Linked DNA regions of Mus musculus. The protein of the gene in region 3 purifies or fractionates together with the protein of the main gene of each other region. This does not show direct contact. Links are inferred from orthologs where the notes say so. Each region holds a gene or a part of one and is shown on either strand. Other genes may lie near its edges.

Region 1 (5,870 bases), on a different chromosome or scaffold from region 3:
CCTCACACTTCGGTTCTCTGATTTTCTATTACAAGCCTGTTTTGTCTGTTCTTTAACATTTTATTTTCTAGTGGGATACCTGTCGTTGTACTATGACCTCTCCAAACAAATCATTTTATTCTACTATAGGGGCCAAAAATAAAGAACATAATAATGATCAAACCTCATTAGAACATGTCCCTATGTTCTAATAGTAGTAATTCTGGTCTAGTAAGAGTGGGTTTGTAAGCCTAACTCTTACTGTTACCCAAAGGCAGGAACCCTTATAACCTCTTATCTTTACGGGGCTCTGTCAGTTGTTTCCAGGTGATGGTTTGCATTAAAATGCTGGAGCCTGGCACCCAGTGCTTGGAGGGATCTTCTTCACAGCTAAGATTTCTTTCTTCACTTAGCACCTTGTATAAAATGTCTTGCCATTGGGCTATTACAATGTAAATGATTCTGAAGACTAAGACAAATTGATGAGAAACTACTATACTGGTTCTTGCCAGTTTTCTCTGACATACATGGGGGCTCCTTTTCTGAACCAAGCACTGTTTGTTTCACCAAATAAATGTCTTAGGGAATGTCTCAGATTAACCATTTCTCCAATCAGACTCATAGGCTACTCTTTTTAAGTACTGGGGATTCAACCCAAGCTAATCCAGCAAGAACTCTATCTGCTACCCTTGGAACCTACCTTGAAAACCTCTTTCTGAAATCTACCACTTAGAAAGCACACCTACTCAACGTTTTAAACTGGAAATTTAGAAACGATATTTAACCTCTCTTCTTTGTCTATTCTTGTCTTCATCGTCACAAATTCTTCCTCTCAATCTATATCCACATGACGAGGATTTTAACCTTCAGAGAGTTCTAGAATCTTTTCTCATCCCCTCCCTTACTCCACTCCCACCTTCTCATTCCTGTTCAGGGGACCTGCCTCCTAGTCTCACTAACAACAAACTAAATTTTAAAACGTAACACTTGGAACTGACTGGAGACATGGGTCAGCTTGTGAGACTGCCTAATGCCTTTGCAGATAGGGTCACTGCGCCCAGGCAGGGTGGCTCACACCTGACTGTATGTAGGTAGGTATATACATATATGTGAGGAAAAAAATCTTTAGATTCCTCTGTTGAAAAGAATCCAAAGGGAAAAAAGGAGGAAGAAGAGAAAGAAAGATAAAACTGCTATCACATCCTCCATGTATGTTATCCAACCTAAACAGCCTTAGCCCCATAGATATTACAATTCTACAGCCAAAAAAAGTGGAGTCTAGAGGTCAACTGACTGAATTCCATCCACCAACTCTAGCTTGTGAGTTTAATGCCTCAGGTCCCATCTGTTAAAGTGGGTAATAGAAAATGTGTTCATATTGTGTATCATAAAGAAAAAAATTAATTGAGCAAGTGTGGTGATGGGTGCTCATAGTAGTACCAGTAAACTGGAGTTCGGTGCAAATCGATTATGTATTGGAAGCCAGCCTGGGATACTTAAAGAAGCCCTGTCTCAAAAACCACGAAGGAATCCATGAAGAAATATAAGAGGTAAAGTCCGTATGCTGTGTGGTCTATAGGTCTCTGTTATGGGTTTCTATTCACCAAACCTGTAGGTTTTCACTGCTCTTATTCACTGGGACCTAGCGAACAGGGAAGGCAAGGGTTCCTAACCAGTGGCCTACCTTTCCCTCGGGCAGTCTTTTGACTGTCTTGCTGCGCACTGTCCATCATTAATGTAACCTTTTCGTGCTCGTGGCATGACTCGTGGGGATGGGGCGCTCGATCTCTCCGGCGACGTGGGGACTAAGAGGTCTGGTAAATGGCTGTGTGAACCCAAGGAGAACAGGCCTGACGAGGCGGAAGCAGGGTAGACTCGTGCACCCAGCCGGGAGACTTGGGATCTCCAGATGCGTGTGGATTTTATTTCTGTGAGTCCTCCTTCGGCGAGGGACTCCTGGGGCCTGGGTCCCTTCCCGCTTTTTGTTGGGAAAGGCTTGGTATTCCTTATACATCCTCTCTCGGGGTTTGCTCCTATGACCTTCAAAGAGAACCACATAGAAAACACTCGATTATTCTAAGCATCCTTAGAGGAGCGGGAAAGGGGAACCGATGCCACGTGACAAAAGCCAGCCGGCTCGCTGCGGACCTCTGAGTTGCCTAGAACATCCCGTCTCTATGGTCAACCGCATGCTAAGGCCCTCGCTGAGAAAGTTGTTCTTCCGGGCTACGACTACTGCTTCCGGGGCAGCTCCGTGCGAGCCGCGATTGCGGTACTCGCCTCTCTCGGTTCGCGTGGAGCGATGCTTTCCCCGGCAATGAGCTTCCTCAAAAGCTTCCCGCCGCCTGGGTCGGCCGACGGGCTCCGGCTGCAGCAGCCAGACACCGAGGCTGTGCTGAACGGGAAGGGGCTCGGCACCGGCACGCTTTACATCGCGGAGAGGTAAGGTTGGGGGGCGCCGACCAGCCGGCCGGCGCTATTGTGCGGGCAGGGTGGGATTGTCCCCTCCCGAGCTCGGCTGGTTCTGTCCCCTAGCCCGCGTTTCTCCCTAACGACCTGTGCGAACCGGCCTGTCTCCTGCAAGCCTGGCGCGTGGTCACGTTGAGTTTTGAGTCTGCAGAGCCTCGGTTAGTTTTTCCGTGGGCCTAGCTTTCGGAATGGTCGTGTCAACTAGACGATTTCCCTGCGTGGAATATGTAGCTCAGATTGTGACGGGTTACGACGTTTGGTTAATGAGCTGGGATGTTCTGCTTCAAGTGTGTGTGTTTGTGGGGGCTGGGGGGAAGGACCATCTTCAGGCCCACGCAGGGCGGAGTCACAACCAGCCGAACCCGACTCCTGGATGTGCAGGTCCTGGAAGGAATTCTTCTATTTCACTACCTGCAGGATTCAGTACTTTCACAATAACATAGACATGCCACTAAAATACACACTACATACACGCTCATACCCTCCTACCCCCACCCCATACCTTCCTGTTCACCCGCCCTCCCTCCCCATTTCTTTCCTTTCCCTTCCTCCCTCCTTTCCCCCCTCTTTCTTTCATTCTTTCTTTCTCTTCTCATTCTTTCCTGTCTTTCAGAGTCTCTGGTTTACCTTTTGCTATATTCTATTTGTTGGCCACAAAGGAAATCCTCTGCTTTTAAGAGCTCGAGTTATAACATTGCTCCTGCCTAGAAAATCCAGGCTATCTCGTTTATTTCACCATCAGTAGATTAGTAATCTTAATTACATTCAAAGTCCCTTCTTTCATGGCACTGGAAAACAAATCTCTTGGGGACCAAGATTATGCCTACTACAGAGCCCAGGGTATAAACGTGTAAAGAGCTATTTGTTCAGAGAACAGTGTGGATAGTGGGACTGGGTGTTTAGACACCGACTAGAAATACAAATGTGGGTGGGTGCGCAGTTTGGTTGGTATATGTGTTTGGAGTAGCCATGAGGGAGAAAGAAAAGGGATGGGAGGGAAGAAGTTGTGAGATTCATTCATTCATTCATTCATTCTGTAAGTTCTGTTACTCTAGAGAACCCTGACTAATACACATGGGCAAATAAAATGGATCTTGTCAAAGTTAGGAATATATCTGTGTTCCACCACTCCACATGCAGAAGAAATTGTGGAGATCACCAAAGATCTTACTGCTTATACCCAGCAGATGTTTTCCAGTTTACAGTCTATTTCTTCCATTCCTTCTCTCTCCTAAGTCTTCTTTCAAAAGACTTGAAGACTCTTGAAGCATGTGTCTCTCTAAGGTACTTTCCCTGGCCTCTCTTCTGGGCTATATAGCTGACTACAATGGGTATGTAAACACCTACTTATTGATTCCAAATCTGCCTTGTGTTGCAGGATGTTTGATCACACTGTAAACAATGAGATTGTATACTAGATAAAAACCTTTTTCTAGGTGTGGTGTGGCACAGCCTTTAGTCCACATCTTTATTGCCTCTGGCTGGAATACAGACAAGGCCTTAGTACACACCTTGAATCCCAAATAGTGAAGGTAAAGTTAGTTTGTGGAAGGAAGCACCATGTTTGAAAGTGATGTCTAGTTGAGTGGCAGAAAAAATGATCAAATCCGAGAAAGATTTGACCAAATAGGATACGCCCAACCTTCGGGAGAAAAGAGGAAAGGAAAGCTACTGGAGAGAGCAGTTCAGAGAGAGGAAGGAGGCGGTTTTACTGGGACAGTTGTACCGAGACAGGTTAGAGAAAAAGAAGGAGCCAGAAGATCAGGACAGATTGCTAGAGTTACCTTGATGTCAAGCAGAACAATTCAGTCAGAAGCTGAGAGAAACCCGATTGAGTCAGTCAGCTTGGAGAGGAGTTTGCACCAGAACAGCTGAGTTAAACCAGCCAGTTAGAGCTTTGAGAGAACAGGAAAGGGTGAGTTTATTCAGCAGTAAGTCTAAGTCTATAAATATTCTATGCCTAGATTAGATTGTATGGAGGCTAGAAGCTTCCAGGATTAAGCCTAGGCTAGCAGACAGGAATGAAAACTTTAGAGATGACATTACTACAGGAGAATAAGATACTTTTATACCCCTTGATACCATGCTCCACAGATACAAACTCAGAAGCCCAACTACTTTCACATCCACCAACCAAACTCATCACCCCTCTTCATATCAAGCTTGTTTTCCTTCATATTCACTCTGTAAACTCCCAGGCTTTGTCCACTATCAAAATTGCTCTATAAATCAAGAGGGGTTTGTTTTTGTAAATACCTTTATTTTGGGGGGGGGTGGGCTTCGAGACAGGGTTTCTCTGTATAGCCCTGGCTGTTCTGGAGCTCACTCTGTAGACCAGGCTGGCCTCAAACGCAGAAATCCGCCTGCCTCTGCCTCCGAGTGCGTGCGCCACCACGCCCGGCTTTTTAAACACATTTATACCCTGAACTCTCTAGTAGGCATAATCCCTGCCCCCTCTCTGTCTTTTGAGAATGGGGATGTTTTAGGATGACTTAGAGGCTGTGGTCTAGTTAATCCAACAATGGCTGGCTGTGAAGGGAAAGTCCAGGAATCCAGAGGCTGCTCAGTTCAAGGGGCTGGAGGTCTCAGCTGGTCTCAGTAGATGCTGGCATCCCCAAGACCTGGAATGGGTCTTCCTGACTCGGGATCGGGATTAGAAGTAGATCTTCCGACTTCAAATTAAGCAAAAAACCCCACACTGATGTGCCCTCCATTTTTGGATTTTTAGTTAATTCCAGATGTAGTCAAGTTGACAACCAAGAATGGCCATCATAGCAGGGCAGTGGTGCTGCACACCTTTAGTCCCAGCACTCGGGAGGCAGAGGCAGGCAGATTTCTGAGTTTGAGGCCAGCCTGGTCTACAGAGTGAGTTCCAGGACAGCCAGGGCTACACAGAGAAACCCTGTCTTTAAAAAAAAAAAAAAAAAAAAAAAAAAAAAAAAGAAAAGAAAAAGGCTGTCATACTATGTAAAATGGGATTTGTTTGTTTTTGGTTTCTTGTTTGTTTGTTTTGTTTTGGTTGGTTGGTTTTGGAACTCAGAAATCCTCCTAGGAAGTGCTGGGATTAAAGGCGTGTACCACCACTGCTGGGATGTTTCTTTGTTTTTTGCTTAAGACAGGGTCTCTCTCTGTGTAGTCCTGGTTCACCTGGACTTCCCGCCTTTGCCTCTAGAGTGCTGGGACTAAAGGTGTGTGCTGCCACCATGCCCAGTGAGTCTTTCTGTAATTCTTTTGGGGAGGGGAGGCTTCTTGTGTGTGCTTTTCCTTTTTGGAAAGTTTACAGCTTAAAAGGCACAAGTGGGTACAAGTGTTGTTAGTACCTTACAAAGATTCATTCACTGAGGGCTGGAGAGGCGGCTCCAAGTTTAAGAGCATTCGTTGCTCTTGCAGAGGCCTCTGGTTTGGTTCTCACATGCTGGCTC
Region 2 (6,070 bases), on a different chromosome or scaffold from region 3:
CTAGAGAGGCTGAAGGTGGGGGTGGGGGTTGTGAGTTCAAGGCCAGCCTGAGCAAGATAGTTTCAGGCCAGCCTGAACTACAGAATGAACTCCTACCACAAGAACAAACCCGAAGTCACTTATTAAACCTAAGTCCCATGGAATTATACCGTGACACACACCTTTAGTCTCAGATACCAGCTACTTGGTAGAAAGCAGCATCAGAATTGTTTAAATCCAGGAGTTGGAGAAAGCTTGGCTAATATTGTGAGATCATGTGCCTCAGACAATGACAACAACAACAAACAGCTGTATGGTGTGTAGATTCTTTGTACACAGTAGGTAGAAATACTATTTGTCCACGTTGGAGATTGGCTACTAGAATATATTCTTTGAAATAGAATTGTTGGTCTCCAAAGTACCCTGAAATGTAATTGGATTAAGATTTTAAATAATCCCGAAGTCCTGAGTTCAATTCCCAGCAACCACATGGCAGCTCACAATCATCTATGATGGGATCCGATGCCCTCTTCTGGCATGCAGGTGTATGTACAGATAGAGTACTCAAACATTAAATAAATAAATAAATAAATAAGGCAAGAAGATCAGGAAGAGAAGTAAACACCATAATTCAGGGGTGGCTAATGTCACTAAATGTTGACTGAGACGGGAATAACCAACTGTCAGTCTCCACTTCTTGTATTGATTCGCAGATGTGTCCTCATTTAAACTGCTATGGAGGCGCTGGCCTGGGTGTCTGCTTACACAAGATGCAATAGGCTTTCTGTCCTTGTAGAAGAAGACATTTCATCCTTTTTAGTTTACAGGACAATTATCCATCTTTTTGTCTTTTTTTTTTTCAGTAAAATTATGTTGCTCAAAAAGGAGCAAGTACGTTGTATAAGCATGTCTTGTCTGGGAAGATGGATTTGTAGTTTCTAAGTCATGGCAGTGCGTGCTATTTTTAAAGCTTGTTATCATTCGGTGCAGATTTCTCTTTCAGTCAGAGTGTGGTGGCTCACACGTGTAATCTCTGCACTTGGAAAGCTGAAACAGACAGGAAGATCTCGATTTCTAATTGAACTTGGGCTGTCTAGCAAGACTCCTGTTCAAAACAAAATTGGAAGGTAAGTAAACATTTCTGATTCCTTTCCCCAAGCTGCTGTGGGAATAGCAATCATGCAGTGGGAAGCAAGTATCTCCTGAGAACAGGTTAGTCAAACGCGCGCTTGTGTGTGTGCGTGTGTGAAATCTATTTGTGTGTGTGTGTGTGAACGTGTGTGAATGTGTATGGGTGAATGTGTGTGTATATGTGTGAGAAATGTATGTGTGAATGTGTGTGTGAGAAATATATGTGTGAACGTGTGTGAATGTGCGCGCGCGAATGTGTTGTGTGTGAACGCTCATTTGTATGTGTATATGTGTGACAAATGTGTGTATCTGTGAATGTGTATGTGTGAATGTGTGAATGTGTATGTGTGCATGTGTGTGTGTGTGTGTGTGTGTGTGTGTGTGTGTGTGTATGTGAATGTACCTAAATACAATCTGCTCAGTCTATACAATGTTACTTGCATGTGTAGGGCTTCCAGGGCAGACCATTGGGTACTGAATAACCAACCACTGAATACTGGATAACCAACCACTGGGTACTGGATAACCAACGGTACTCTTCCTTGGGGAAGGCTATCTCTCCCACTCTCAGCAATCCTTAGTTGCCTATAGTTCTGTGTGTAGGGTTGAGGCTTTGTGAGCCAATTAGCATGTCTACTGGTATCATCTTTGTCCAGCTCCTGTTCCAGTAGTCATGTGGGCAAAACTTTTTAGCTGTAGCCTCTGACACTCCTAAGAGAAACGGAAAACGGAGAATTATTCAACAAAGTCACATTACTGACTTGGAGCACTGGCTTTTGACTCTAAGTTCCTAACACCACCTTGTTTTTGTGGTGGCACGTTGTTTTGCTCCTTTATCCTGGTTCCTTGCAGATTGACTTTAAAGACGATCATTAAATCAAAGCAGCATGTCTCCAGGCTGCTGGGTTATCATTTCAGATCATTTCAGGTTGCTGAAGTCCCTCATTAAGGGATGCTGTAGTGCGGGTGCAGCCTGCAATCTGGAAAACCCTGTGATTGGGTAGAGAGAAAAGTGATGGAGCCCATCGGCTGTGACTGTGTGACACCCGGGTGGGCTCTATGTGTCATTTCACAATGCAGTAGGAAAGCCCCGTGTGGCTGGGATGGCTCAGTGCCCAATCAGGCCTAAGGCTCGAAACCAGCACTAGAGGTCAGAAAGAGCTGTAGAGCCTGCGGTCCCGCACAACAACGCAGGTGGGCGTGCCGTCCGGCGCTGCCCCTGCGCCGCCCCGCCCCCTCGGTCGCCGCGCCGCCCCACGCCGATTGGCTTGTCCGCAGCCCGTCGGCCGTCACGTGCCGGAGCGTCCCAGGCGCCTGGCTGTGGGCGGCCGGGCATGGACCCTCAGGCAGCCACCGGTCGGGGCCCGGGCGAGCGGAGTTCGCAGGAGGCCCCCAGCGCGGAGGTGAGCGCGACGGGGTGGGGGACGCGGGCATCCGCGACCACCCAGGCGGGAAACCGCGGGGTTCACGCGCTGCCGGGAGGCCGCTCACCCGGGAAACGCCGGGGCCGCGCGAGTGCACGCAGAGAGCCTGGCCGGTAACGGCAGTGGGCGCGGGAACGCGCGCGGACCCGAGCCCTAGGCTGTGGCTGGCGCTGAAGGGAGAGGGACACTGGGGCTGCTGGGGAGCATCTGCGGGAGTGAATGCAGGGAACGCGGAGCTGGCTTCCCGGAGCCGGCTGCCCTGAGCCCGCTCCAGCCGCAGGGGGCTGGGTCAGGTGGGAGCTGCGAGGAAACGGATTTTTTTTTTCTCACCTTGAGGACCTCTGGCCATTGGTGGGGATGTGTAGCTGACCTTGGACGCCAGATGTCACCCGTGCTTTTTCCCATTTGATGAAACGAATGGTCCCCTTGTGACACGGGTTTTCAGAAACTTGTTTTTAAGTGCGCGCCATACAGCCTTTCCCCATGACCTGCCCGTATTGCATCCACCTACTGCGAGCTTCTTGACTGTAGACATCCTGTTTCCCAGAAGCCGCACCTATGCCTGGTGTATCCTAATTGGATGAATGAATAGAACGCTTACCAGAGCCTCAGTGATGGTACTTGAAGCTGCTATTCAAGTACCAATAGATTTGCAAAGAAAATCACTTTTGCAAAATAGGAGAGTGATGTTGTTAGGGCGGATCTGGAAAGGATGTTCTTGGGTGAGAGGGTAGGCCCAGCAAAGGTCTGGATATGAGAAAGGGCAAGGCAAATGGCCTTGGAGCTTGGGTCGGAGAGCAGGCTTCTTACAGAAAGGAACGTGAGAGTCAATATGAATGGCATTGCTGGTCTGTGATGGCAGTGGAGGGCTCGCGAAGCTTTTAAGTGGAAGGGTGAGCAGGAGTAGGGAGATAGGCGTGAGGTTCAAGTAAGAGGTCCAGCACCATAGGGGGCAGCAGTGGTCTGTGGTTATCACGGACTACAGGAGATAGAGTCATTAAAGCTCAGGGGTGACTAGATAATGAACGGTAATTAGGGTGAGTGCTAAGTACAGTTTATTTACATGCAGGATGAAGGCTGGAAAGACAGCCATGGTGGTCTTACAGAGTTTGGCTTGGCTCTTAGCACCCACAACAGATGTCTCAGCCCTCTGCAACTCCCTCTCCAGGGGATCCTCCTGGTATATTCACACACACACAAATATACACAAATAAAATAAATATTGCAATTTAAGTCAAAGAAGTGTTACTTCTTGCAGTCTAACAGGTGGTTTTGTTATTATTGTTGGCTTTATTGTAATATTTTTGAGACAGGGTCTCATGTAGCCCAGGAGCTGGGCTCACTCTGTGGCCAGGACTTCTGATCCTCCTGCACCTATCTCCTAAATGCTCAGATTACAGAGTGGCCCACCATGCCTGGTTTTATGTAGTGTTGGAAAAATCAGTGTGTAGCTTTGTGTACACTAGGCAGACACTTGACCAACTGAGCTACGTCTCCAACATATGTTAGATGTTTTATAAATATCCTCCATCATACGACCCCTGCCAGATCAGAACAGCCATTCCAGTATCTAAAGGTCACAGCCTACGTGCATGGTGGGGCAACAACTGACATCAGCCTGATCATCCAAGCCCTGGACATTACTGTTTCCACTGCAGAGAGACCTTGGGGGGAGTAAAGTTTGGGGAACTTTGAGGCAACAGGCCGCAAAATTACCTGGTTGGCATTGGGGGGGGGGCGGGGTTAGGTATTCTTTCCAGTGTGTAGAACTCAGGCTGCTTCTCCCGTGGACCGCTGTGGAATGGCTGTGTTGGAAGGAGTTGTTAGACATAAAGACCTGAGAAGGGCAAAGGTGTGCAGAGAAGTTGCAGGTTCAGGAGACAACTATCAATCCTGGCCAGGAAAAAAGAGAAGTTAGAGCAGTTAAAGTGTTTTTGGACTTAGAGGAAAGAGTTTACACACAGACTTGAGGTTACAAGCCGAGACCAGGGAGCTGTCCCATCTGGCTCTAGGGTCTCTGAGCTTGGAGAAGTCCTGCTGCCCAGACTTCTGAAGAGGGCCTGGGGCTGAGAGCAAAACTGACAGCTGTGACAGCTGTCCATTGGGCACCGCAAAAGGGCACTCCCAGCGGTCAGAACGGAGAAGTGTTCCTGGGTGATGCCTGTAGCCTACAGGCCCTGTTCTGAGGCCTTGCCAGGTCCTCAGAAGGGTGTGCAAACTCTACATCGTGCAGGGCATTATGGGTGGGCGGGTTTGGAGCTTCAAAGCAGTGACATGTCCTACTACCCAAGTTCCTGGTAATTATTTCTTCTTCCACAGGCTGGCTTTGCCACAGCTGACCTCTCTGGTCGGGAGACGGAGACTGAGCTGGCCGTGGATCGACTAGGCAAGTAGACGGCAGAGACTGGGGCTGGGGTGGCCATTGGAAGAGATGGAGACAGCACAGTCCCGCTGTCTTGTCTATCTTCTCTTGCTAGCTGACCCACTTAGCCACTGAGTTACCTTCTTTGCCCACTGTCTCAGCGGGACTCTTGGTTTAGAAGCTTCGAGGAGGTACTGGATGACCGTGGACCCAAACCACCCCATTTCACTGGGAGGAAAAGCATCTAGTGTGTGTAGCTAGGAAGACTGTTTCAGTTTCAGACCCAGGTTGTAGTCCTTGGGCTTGCCTTTTTCATCTCTAGATGGCTTTATCTTTAAAGTAGGGTACTTCGTCGTGTTGAATGAGAAGATCTGTAATGACACTGCCACTGTGTAGCTCTGTGATGTACTGAGTTACACTGGGTAGCACTGGTCTATACAGCCTGGGTACAGACAGCATGGGTATGATCAGAGTAGGTGCTAAGTGTTTCAGGCACAGATCTGAGTGTTTCCTTTTTTCCCCCTAAATAAACTCACAACAATCTGAGGACTATTTCACCAATGAGAAACTTAAGGTACATAGTAAAGTCTTAAAATACAGCAAAAGATATAGACTTGGCTTTACCTGTTAACTATATTAACTATATGACCTGGCTCATTCCGCTCTGTGATAGTGTGTACAACTGTCACTGCTACCTCTAGGATGTTGTCACGACCCCAAAAGGAAGCCCTGTCTCTGGAGCACTCTCCACTCTTTAGTTCTCAAGCCCCTAACTACTGATAGCTCCCCACCCCTAATGAATTACCTGGTATGGACATGCAAGTGTGAATTCACAGTAAAGGAAATTTTGGTCTCTTACGTCCTGCTTCTTCCAGCTCAGCACATTTCCAGGGTCCATTCCTGTAGCAGCCTGCGTCAGCACCCCTCACCCACAAGACTGAGCACGCCCACCACCAGGTTTCCTGCACTTTGTGGATCATTTATCCCCTGGTGGCATTTGGTGGCTGAATGGTGCTGCAGTGAACATCTTTTCTTGTCTGAAGTGTGCACTGTTTGAAGCGGAGTTGCCAGAGCATGTGGTAATTCAGGGTTAGTTACCTTCAGTGTCAGACAGCTCAGAACAGATCTGACCTGAGGCAGTCTGTCTCCAGATTCCGTGCTCTCCACTGAATTG
Region 3 (5,400 bases):
CATGCTGTTGCAGTGATGACCGTGCGGGAGCTCTTCGACTTCGTCACAGATCCCTCCATCACTGCTGACAACATGGATGCTTACCTGGAAAAGGTAAGGTGGGCTGAGGAGAGGACACACGAGAACTTGCCTTTGTGTGGCCTGTCTGAGAGGTTCAGTCATTAGTGTTGCTCAGTGTCACTATCATTTTAATCATGTCTTAGCACTTACCATTTCACAGTGAGATTAACAACAGTAAGGAAGTCAGTAGAGGCAGGGCTCTTGACGTCACTTACTTGGCAGGATTACAGAGAAACTGTGACGGCTGTCAACCTCCATACGTTTAATGAGAAAACTGTCATGTGCGTGGTAAAACATGCATGACCTTAAGTACAAAGCATTATATACATTTAAATTATTGTGTAAGCCACAGATTTTCTATCTTCAGAACTTTTTTTAACATCAAATACTGAACCTGTACTTACCGACCCCCACCAGCTCCTGGAAACGGCCATTCTGCCTGCACTCTGCTTCTCTCAGTACTGCTAACAAGTAAAATCACGTTGGTTTGCTTTTTAATATGTATATGTGTGTGTTTGTGTGACCATATGCTGCAAGCGTGTAGATGCCCAAGGAGTCCTGATGGTATTGGACCCCTGGAGCTGGGGTTACGGGTGCTTGTGAGCGCTGGGAATCAGGCTCAGGGACAAGAGCAACACACAGGCAGAGGAAACACCCCAACTCAAGGCTGGGGAGAGCTGAGCAGCCAGGATTCCCCACAAGACAAATGCCGTGTGTTGTCTGAGTGCATCCTTTGGTCCCTAAACAGAAGTTTTATATTCTAACCTAATCCATTTGTGCCTTCCTTGTTAATCTTGTCACTTCTGAGTCAGGATTCTTATAGTTCCCCTTTCTCCTGGAGGGCCTGTCCACCTTGGCACTTGTGCACTTGTTCATCTTGCTTGGTCTGGCGAATGTTAAAACTCAGGTCAGACAGTTGTGGCAAAGGGTCTCAGGAGGAGCAGTGATTTCAGGAGCATTGTTTTCTCTTTAAATTTTTTTTTTTTTGAGACAGTGTTTTTCTGTGGTTTTTTTAAAGATTTATTTATTTATTTTATGTATATGAGTACACTATAGCTGTACAGATAGTTGTGAGCCTTCATGTGGTTGTTGGGAATTGTATTTAGGACCTCTGCTCGCTCTGGTCAACCGTGCTTGCTCCAGTGGCCCCACTCGCTCCAGTCAGCCCTGCTTGCTCTGTCCCTGCTCACTCTGGCCCAAAGACTTGTTTATTATTATATATAAATACACTGTAGCTGTCTTTAGACACATCACAAAAGGGCGTTAGATCTCATTACAGGTGGTTGTGAGCCACCATGTGGTTGCTGGGATTTGAATTCAGGACCTTTGGAAGAACATTCAGTGCTCTTACCCACTGAGCCATCTCACCAGCCGGAGACAGTGGTTTTTTGTTTTTTGTTTTTTTTAATATCCCCCCGGCTATCTCAGACCCTGTATAGCCAAGGATGAACTTGAACTTGCAATTCTGACTTTGTCTCTTGAGTTCTGAGATTATAACCACACCACAGCAGCCTGTTCTAGTTTATGTAGTGCTGGGGAGCAAACCCAGGGCTCAGTGCATGCTGTGCCCACACTCCTTGCAGCTGAATACATCTCCAGCCTATTTATTTGTCTTGTTTGGGTTTTTGTTTCCTTTAGATAGTCTTACTTTGTAGCCCTGGCTCACCTGGCCTTATGCTCCTCCCTCTGCTGCCTCAGAAATGCCAGGGTCGTAGTGCACCACCATGTTTGGCAGATTATGAACTCTTGAGGGACAGAAATTTTATTTGTATATTGTTAGTACCTGATTATGTACTAGGCAGCTACATGGTGTCTTAGGGTTTTCTTTGCTGTCAAGAAAAATCATTGCCACAGCAACACTTACAAAGGAAACCATTTAATTGAGTTGGAGTACAGTTCAGAGGTGTAGTCCATTCTCATCATGGTGGGAAGTGTGTAGCCTCACAGGCAGGCACGGTGCTGGAGATGTCGCTGAGAGGTTGTACACTGGCTCAGTAGGCAGCAGGAAGAGAGTGTGAGCCGCTGGGCCTAGCTTGAGCTTCAGTGACATACTTTCTAAAACAAGGCGTCTCTCCTATGCCAACAAGTCCTCATGTCCTAATCCTTTCAAACAATGCTACTCCTTAGCCTGTGGGGCCATTTTTATTAAACCACCATACATGTATTGACTATCAAAGTATTTTTTATCTCTATTAGTATTGATTCTATACTTTAAAAAAAACAAAATAAATGTTCTTTCTTTCTCTATATCTATTTCTGAGAGATATATTTTTACTTTAGTATGCATCCATATGGGTATGTGCACGTGTGTGTAGATGCTTGTACAGGCCAGAGGCATTGGACCTCCGTGGAGCTGGTGTTGTGAGCTCTCCAATGTGTGGGCACTAGGAATTGAACTCTGGTCCTCTGGAAGAATAGTCCATGCTCTTAGCCACTGAGCCACCTCTCTGGCCCTCTCCCTGTGTTTTAACTAGAGAACTGTTTTTATGAGTCAGAAGAAGAACCCAGTATAGAGTCTCTCTCCTTACAGTTACTGTTGCCCGCGCGACTTTATTGGTGATATATCCTGTGTCGGCATTAGGGCCACATATTTACCTTTCTTGTGATTCATGTCACTGACATTTCAAGGTTCAAGAAGTGGTTCATTATTGAGTCTCAGTTTCTTCTGATGAAAAAAGATTTCTGCTAATAGTTTAAAATTAAGTTTAAAAAAAATCCTTCTTAAGCTGGGCGTGGTGGTGCACGCCTTTAATCCCAGCACTTGGGAGGCAGAGGCAGGCAGATTTCTGAGTTCGAGGCCAGCCTGGTCTACAAAGTGAGTTTCAGGACAGCTAGGGCTATACAGAGAAACCCTGTTCTTGCCCCCCACCCCCAAAAAAAATCCTTCTTGTTGTCTTGGCCATGAGCTGGGGCTGGGTGTGTGACTTTGTGACCCTGGGCCAGTGCTCCACCACGGAGCTGCCCCCAATGTTGATTTTTGAAGAAGGCACTAAAGGTACCTTGAGACTAGAGGAGTTTATTCTAGTTCTTTTAAAATGACTGTCAAGTCTTTGGTAGAGAGCCAGTCTACATTGTAGAAGCTCACTCTAGTTGGAGAAGTGTGAAGACATGATACCTGTGAAGACTAAAAAAAATAGTTCATTACAAAATAAAAAGTGTGTCTTCTAGGGTAAATGTAAAGGGAAATAATTGTTTTGCTTTCTTTCAAAGGCTATGGAAATAGCATCCCAGAGGACCAAGGAAGAAAAGACTAGCCAAGATCATGTGGATGAAGAGGTGGGGGTTATTGTGTATTCACAGCCTTGGGGAACACTTGTGGGCTTTGCTTGGCACTCTGGAGTGTTGTGTTGTGTGTCTTTTCATATAAACCAGGCTGTCTTAGAACTTGATATGCGGTACAGGCTGACCTCAAACTAGCACTCATTCTGCTAGAGTTAGGAGTATGTGCCACCATTTCCAACTGATTCTTGTGTTACAGGAGTTTCCATGGTTTTGTTTCTGTTGGTAAAGCTTGAACTTGATTTTTAGACACAGGGTATATAATTTACATTCAGTTATATTGCTGTACTCAGCAGCCTTTTAGCCTGTTGTTCAGGCTTGTGGGGTGAGTCAAGAAGGAAAAGCCTATTCATGTGCAAGTATGAATTTTTAGATGGCCTATGTGCTCATTGTGTAAATATAACAGACTTTAAATACTTTGTTAAAAATTAAAATCGAACCAGTCTAAAGAAATCAAGACATTTTTATTAAGGTCCACAATAGGCTAATTATTATTATATTTATTATTTTAATTGTAGCTTATTCTCAGAAGTTTGTGGCAGCTTCATAGAGATATTCCTACAATGTAAGAGTGGTGGGTATTCAGTTGCTCACAGCCAGGCCGTCCTTGCTACCTGTCTATCCTGTCCTTCCTCAGATGCCCTTTGGAATGTGTATGTATGGGAGGAGTGTTACTCTAAGAATCATTGGAATACACTCTCTTTCTCCCCTAAGTCAGTTGTAAAATTTCATTTTTAGCTTACCAAATTGCTTCTAGCTTACCACATAGCAGACATGACCCCAGCGTGTGCACAGCTGGAGTGGGAGCCAGCATTGGCGATGAGGATACATTTCTGCACCCAGCTAAGGGTGCTGAGGGATGGGCAGGGTGAGGAATCACAGTTTGATTTTGCTTTCCTCTTTTAGGTGTTCAAACAAGCATATATTCCCAGAACCTTAAACGAAGTAAAGAATTATGAGAGAGATGTGGACATCATGATGAGGTTAAAGGAAGAAGACATGGCTTTGAACACTCAGCAAGACAACGTGAGTGGCCTGCTCTGTCTGGAGCCTGTTCTACCAAAGGAGACTGAGCGTAGTCCTGCCTGGTGCTCGTGAGACAGCCAGCTCCCTTTGCATAAGCTTCCATACGTGCTGCATAAGCGATGTAAGAGAGGGCGGTGCATTTCCATGTGTCAGAGAACTGTGATGAGAAAAAAGGCGAAGTCTCGGGTTAACAACGATCGTAGTGGGTTGATAAAGCTGTGCTTCATTTTCATACATATTTGAAGGAATGATTAAAATATTTATATCATTTTTAATTATGTGTGCGTGGGGGAAGGCATGCACACATGAGGGAATGCTGGTGTCCTTGAAAGCCAGAGGTGTTAGGGTTTATTGGAGCTGGAGTTAAGAGGGGGTTATAAGCTTCCCTGCATGGGTGCTGGGAACCAAACTCGGGTCCTCCACATGAGCAGAACAAGTTCTTAGCCACAGTGCATCTCTCTAGTTCCCCTGGGGGAAATTTTTTGTTGTTAGTAGACCAGAAAGTAACCTTTTAGGCTTTTTAGCCATGTAGCAAAATTTAGCTGTTTATATAAGTTTTTGTATAAAGAGTGAAGTAGTGTTCTCCAGCTTTTCATGCATGAAATAAAAGCATTAAGACTATATTACATGTGTGTTAGACATGTGTCAGCACGCATGCCGTGGTGCCTGTAGGAAGACTAGAGAACAGCTTTGTCGGCTCACTTCTCTCCTCCTTTGTGTGGCTTCTGCGGAACATAGGCAGGCTCTCGTGGCATGTGCCTTTATCTGCTGAGCTAGCTCTCGGGCCTAAAAGCGCTGTTATTCTTTATATATGTCTGTTGCCTGTGTGATTGCACATATACATCAGTGTGTGCCCTCAGGCCAGAAGAGGGTGTTGGAGCCCTTGGAGCTTTCTGAGCCACCAGATGAATGTAGGCGCTGGGATCCTAGCTCGGAGCCTCATGATTGAGCAGCCTGCACATTGAATCACTAAGCGTTTTCCAACCCCTTGAAAGCACTGTCAGTAATAACTACAGCTTGTGCCGTGGAGATCTA
Region 4 (5,400 bases), on a different chromosome or scaffold from region 3:
ACTGCTCAGCAGTATTTAAGAAACCCACTGAAAGTGTTCCCAGAACTTAGTGACTTCCTTTGGAAGACAGCTTCTTCTAGGTTGTGACCTTTGTTCTGAGTCTTCCTTTTCTCCCTTCCAGCCTGCAATGCCTCTGGCTACCTCCCTACCGCTTTGGCTTGGCATCCTCAGCAGAGTGAAGTCTTTGTTTTTGGTAAGGCAGCATGACGTACCGTAGACTCTGGGAATGGGGAGGATGACAAAGTGCTACCTTCAATGGAGTACATGCCCCTGTCAGCACATGCAGGCACTGCATGAATTATGCCAGTTTGAGGTAGCTATGGAGAGCATCTTTTTTTCCCTAGTGGGTTTGTTTCCTCATTGTTCCAGCTTCTTTATTCTGGGCATGGTTAGAAGTCAGTGAGCTGTGGAGCAAGTGCTTGCTGTTATGGAATTATGTTCTGCTGTGGTGTGACTGCATATGGTAAGAGTTTGTAGTTAATTGTCCCAGCCACATAGTGACTTACTGATTCTATACCACAAAGGAAACTGTTGTCTACATTTTGAGAGACTAGGATTCATTCAAATCCAGGTCTGGCTCACATCAAAGTATGGTTTTTGTTGTTGTTTTTTTTTTTTTTCTTCCTCAAGACAGGGTCTGTATGAAGTTTGGGCTGTCTTAGAACCTGATGAGTAGACCAGGCTGACCTTGAACTCAAAGATCCTTCTGCTTCAGCCTCCCACATACTAGAATTAAAGGTGTATACTATACTTAGCCAGGAGCGTGAATTCTTAGCCACTGTGACGTGCTTTATTTCTTCTGCAGGTGACGAGAATGGATCTGTCTCCCTTGTGGACACCAAGAATGCAAGCTGTACCCTCAGCTCAGCTGTGCACTCCCAGGGTGTCACTAGACTGGTATTCTCCCCACACAGGTGCTGTGTGTCACCAGGAACTTGGAAGGGATGGGTGGGGACAGTGGTGAAGGAGTAGGAATGGAGTGACACAGGGAGGAGGTATCTATTTGGCAAAGCTGCTTCCATTGGTCCTTAGCTGGGGCAGTACTCTAACTTGGCTTTCCCAAGCTTGTCAGTGTAGTCTTTATTTGGTTTGTATAGTTTGAGAAGACCTAAAATATAATCTCATTCCTGCTCAAAGCCTGTGAGTCTGAGTAACTGTTGCTAATGTAGAGAAGGAGCCATTGGGCTGGTGGGCTGCTAGTGTGGTTTCTGTGAGCCCTGTTCCATTTTCTTTGCCTTTCCTTGGGATTGTAATGGTAGTAAGACCTAAACCTCAAGTGGCCATCAGGATGCCTTCTCCCCTGTCTCAGTTTACAGTGGGGTCAGGGCTGGCCCTGATAGATTTTGGTTGTGGAATCTATGGACTTTATCTTCTTTTCCTTTTGTGTCCTCTCCTAGTGTCCCCCTCCTGACTTCTCTCAGTGAAGACTGTTCACTTGCTGTGCTGGATTCAAGCCTTTCTGAGGTGTAAGTTTGAAGTAGAATCCTGTGGTCAGGAATCGGGGATCAAGACCAGTGGGCAAGCAGGTCTGGTTCCTCTTCAGGAACATACAAGTAGAATTCATCCTTTGTTGGGTCTGGAGAAATGGCTCAGCAGTTAAGAGTACTTCCTTTTTGTTTCTAGTAAGCACATTAGTCTGCTCATAGCTGTCTCTTAACTCCAGATCCAAGGCACATGATACCTCTGGTTTCTGTGGGCATCTGCACTCAGAGGCATGCACACCCACATGGAAATACACACTTACATATTATTAAAAATAAGTATAAGTACAAGAAAAGTTTCATCTTTCTCTGCAGAGATCCCCAACCCCTCCCCAAAATCCTCTCCATTTGCAGCTATGTGTCTGCAAGACTGAGTGCTGAAAGCTCTCTGATTGTAGGCTTTCTGGCTAGTGTTCCAGCTTGATTTAGGGAGCCACTTTGGAGAAGTGGAACTTGGTGTAGGGTAAAAAAAGGCACTGGATGGGAGACCTGGGTATGTATCCCTCTGCCATAATTTCCCATTGACTGTGGACATTATTGCTTCCTTGTTCTGTCCACTGTGTCTTCACCTAAGAAAGTAGACTGGGTTGGATAATCTAACACCCACTGGCCTGGTAATGGGGCTGTATAGATGGTAAAATGTGTCCTGAGTATGTTACTAGGTTTTCTTTCCAAGTAGTTTCTCCCTATCTCACACCCTGTTTTTCCCCCTTTTGTTCTAGGTTTAGAAGTCGAGCCCACAGAGACTTTGTGAGAGATGCTACGTGGTCTCCACTCAATCACTCCCTTCTTACCACAGTTGGCTGGGACCATCAGGTCATCCACCATGTTGTGCCCTTAGAGCCTCTCCCAAACCCTGGACCTGACAGTGTTGTGGAGTAGAATGGATTTCAGAAAAACCAAAACAAGCCCTCCGTCTGTAAGCGACTACTCGATTGCCCCTGCCTTCCATGTGTGAGAGCACAGGAGCCTTGTAGAGCATGTTTCCTCCCTAGCCCCGTGCAGTAACAGGCAGATTCTCAGCCTGAGGGAGGCTGCATCCCATAGTGACTCAGAGGAAGAAACTTCCTCTGTAAATGGATGTATGTGAGTACACGTGTGAGTGCGGTATATAGTTTGGAGTGGAGAAAATTATTCTTCAGCTTTCCCAAAGCAATGCTCTTTACCCCTGACAAAGTGACCAGAGGATTTTAATGCTTCCCATGTCTGGGAATTGGCGATGTTAGGGATATGGAATGTGGGTATCCCTAGATTTTTGGGAATACTTCATACTACTCAGAGGTGCGTAACTTATTTTTATATAGAGTTTAATTCACTATTATGGGAATTACTTCCATATACAAAAGTCTAGCCCACTGTACCTTGAGAAGACAAAACAGTTTTGTACAAGTCCCTGTTATACTGAGTCAAATCCATTTTCTGGGTGAATAAATTTGGCCCTGCAGTGTAGCTCTTGTTCACCCTTTCCTTCCTTGGTGTTGTGTGTGAGAGATGAGTGTTTTCCTGTCCTAGATTTCACAGATAAGTTGTAGGGATGATGGACCACTTAAAAGTGTTTCAGTGAAGTGGGAAAATTGACATGGATTGTTACAGAGAAATCTGTCATTTTTCCCACCTAAAAATTGATCTGGGTACCTTCCTCTGGAGAGCTGAAGTCTGAATGTATTTTTGGACTCCTAAGATTTGAGATCCAGCATCAGGGAAACTGTCGGAAATACTAAAAGGTGAAATAAAGACTTTTATCCTTGATTTTCCCTCCCCAGAGCTGTTACTTATTACCTGCTTCGCTTAGGTGAATCACCAGTGTCAGACTTAGCTGCCCACTGTCTTTGTAATCTACTGTATTCCACTCCATTAGAGACTGTGGATCTGTAACTGATCTTATTGGAGCTTTCCAACTTGGGTTTAGGAAAAGCACATAAAATGGGCGCCCTGAAGGAATGTGATCGTCCCTTCTAGTCTTGCCAGTCATGAGCCTCTGTTGTAATTACCCTCGAGCAAAACGCTTGAGAGTTTGCAGTCAAGGTCACCTGGGGTTGGGACTGTGGAAGCAAGGACTTGCATTGTTACTAAATTCAGGGAAGGCATAAGATAGGTAGGATCAGTTTCTGCTTCTTAGAGATAAAGCTTGTGCTTTGTGTCACTTAGGTAAGGACAGGTAGTGCATTTACATGGCCTGCTTTGGGGGCTAAGACTAATAGAGGAAAAGCCTGAAAGAAATGAGTAAATACGGGTTGTTTCCTTTTAGGTCTGTATTGGTAAAAGTAATCCACATTGATTAATTCGTGCCACAGATGTCCAACTTAGTCAAAGCCACAGTAAATGACAGGCATAATTCTACATAGTATATTATGATATACAAGGTAATATACCTCAAATCAGATCAGGAATATGAGTTGTAGCAAGTCATTATCTCGAGAATAGTTCCAGCACTGCAAGCCTCAGTGAGGTAACACTAGGGTTATTTTGATCGTTGAAAAGCATTTAGTTTTTTTCACGTTAGTGTTAACTGTTCAAATGTGTGAACGAGAGTGAACACATTTCCTTAGCTTTGTTTTTCTTACTTAGCCTCACTACTATTGAACTGCTGACCTCTGGCCAGCCAAGGTCTGAGACTTGTTCCTAGAGTGGTGGGTGCTCGGGAGAAGAAACATTGAAGATCTGTGTAGTCTCGGGTGATGACAGGTGTTACTAGTTTTCTAGGTATCTCACTCTGTAGCACAGCTGGCCCCTGGTGCTCTAGTGAAGAGCTAGCTATATGGATGTTTCTTGTGGCTCACTGTCATGGCTTCAAAAATACCCAGTGAGGGCCAGGAGATTGTTCAGTGGGTAAAAGTGTTAGCCATCAAGCCTGGGACTGACATGGCAAAAGGACTCTTGACTGCAAGTTGTCTCCATGTATGCACATGAATAAAAAAGTACCCAAACTCAAATCTGCTTGGGGGCTCTATCTTTTTGCAATACATAAGGAAGGACAGGATATTCAGAAAGAGGCCTTCTAAAAGTCATCAACTTCACACAGCATCGTAACATTGCTGTTTTTAGAATATACAGCTCCGATTTTAAAAAGGTATTGTATGTGGACAGTGCATAATGTCTTGTATTTTCTTTGCGTTTTGGTAGTTGTTTGGTTTAGCTTTAAGCCCACGAAGTAAATGTGAATAGAAAAAGACATTTTTAATGTCTGTGTATTGTGAAGGCTTAGGGCATCTAACAATCCATGTGTGGAAGAAGCTAAAGACAATTTGTATCTAATCAACATTTGTATTGAGTTGCTTATTGCTAATAAAGATAATGTTGGGGGTGGGGAGTTTAGAACTAGGAAATTGCTTTTGTTGTTGTCTCAAGAACTTCATGTCCCATGGTGGGACTCATGTCTCTAGCTGCATATGCAGCAGAGGATGTCCTAGTCAGCCATCAGTGGGAGAAAAGGCCCTTGGTCTTGTGAAGGTTCTATGCCCCAGTATAGGGGAATGCCAGGGCCAGCAAGTAGGAGTGGGTGGGTTGGGGAGCAGGGAGAGGGGGGAGAGGAGATAGGGGATTTTTGGAGAGGAAAAAGGGATGGGGATAACATTTGAAATGTAAATAAAACTAATTACAAAAAAAGGGACTTCATGTCTAATCTTTAGAGTACTGGAAATAGGAAAAATCGGATAGTAAGCAAGGTAAGTAGGCCACTGTTGAGCATCCAAACACATTTCCTTGTGAGATTTTAGACTTCTGTGAGGAAGCATAGGTATTTTCATTGTGTGGACATAGCATAGGTGCAGCCCAAGGGGGCTGAAGAAGGAATTCGCTTCTGGAGAGGAGGAATAACTGGTAAGTTAGAATGACCACAGTGCATGGTCTTACAGTCTTTGATGTGGTCCTCCACTTACTGTGGGTTACTTTGATATTCTGCCATTCTGTGTGTAAGGAA

Evidence for each region.
Region 1: the proteins of Riok1 (region 3) and Clns1a purify together in Homo sapiens (affinity purification with mass spectrometry; 3 studies listed by BioGRID and IntAct, with this or other methods). This does not show direct contact. The link is inferred for Mus musculus from reciprocal best matches to the Homo sapiens genes RIOK1 and CLNS1A.
Region 2: the proteins of Riok1 (region 3) and Coprs purify together in Homo sapiens (affinity purification with mass spectrometry; 3 studies listed by BioGRID and IntAct, with this or other methods). This does not show direct contact. The link is inferred for Mus musculus from reciprocal best matches to the Homo sapiens genes RIOK1 and COPRS.
Region 4: the proteins of Riok1 (region 3) and Wdr77 purify together in Homo sapiens (affinity purification with mass spectrometry; 5 studies listed by BioGRID and IntAct, with this or other methods). This does not show direct contact. The link is inferred for Mus musculus from reciprocal best matches to the Homo sapiens genes RIOK1 and WDR77.

The regions. Positions count from the first base shown.
Region 1 is NC_000073.6:97,694,449-97,700,318, forward strand, and holds the start of Clns1a (methylosome subunit pICln), read left to right. Parts: upstream 1-2,208; 5' UTR 2,209-2,281; coding exon 2,282-2,421; intron 2,422-5,870. UniProt on the Homo sapiens protein: Involved in both the assembly of spliceosomal snRNPs and the methylation of Sm proteins.
Region 2 is NC_000074.6:13,886,610-13,892,679, reverse strand, and holds the start of Coprs (coordinator of PRMT5 and differentiation stimulator), read left to right. Parts: upstream 1-2,408; 5' UTR 2,409-2,444; coding exon 2,445-2,513; intron 2,514-4,853; coding exon 4,854-4,920; intron 4,921-5,771; coding exon of another isoform or gene 5,772-5,953; exon of another isoform or gene 5,954-6,070. UniProt on the Homo sapiens protein: Histone-binding protein required for histone H4 methyltransferase activity of PRMT5.
Region 3 is NC_000079.6:38,052,892-38,058,291, forward strand, and holds part of Riok1 (serine/threonine-protein kinase RIO1), read left to right. Parts: coding exon 1-93; intron 94-3,270; coding exon 3,271-3,336; intron 3,337-4,245; coding exon 4,246-4,365; exon of another isoform or gene 4,366-4,486; intron 4,487-5,400. UniProt on the Homo sapiens protein: Involved in the final steps of cytoplasmic maturation of the 40S ribosomal subunit. Involved in processing of 18S-E pre-rRNA to the mature 18S rRNA. Required for the recycling of NOB1 and PNO1 from the late 40S precursor.
Region 4 is NC_000069.6:105,964,960-105,970,359, forward strand, and holds the end of Wdr77 (methylosome protein 50), read left to right. Parts: intron 1-121; coding exon 122-193; intron 194-805; coding exon 806-914; intron 915-1,397; coding exon 1,398-1,466; intron 1,467-2,203; coding exon 2,204-2,363; 3' UTR 2,364-4,801; downstream 4,802-5,400. UniProt on the Homo sapiens protein: Non-catalytic component of the methylosome complex, composed of PRMT5, WDR77 and CLNS1A, which modifies specific arginines to dimethylarginines in several spliceosomal Sm proteins and histones.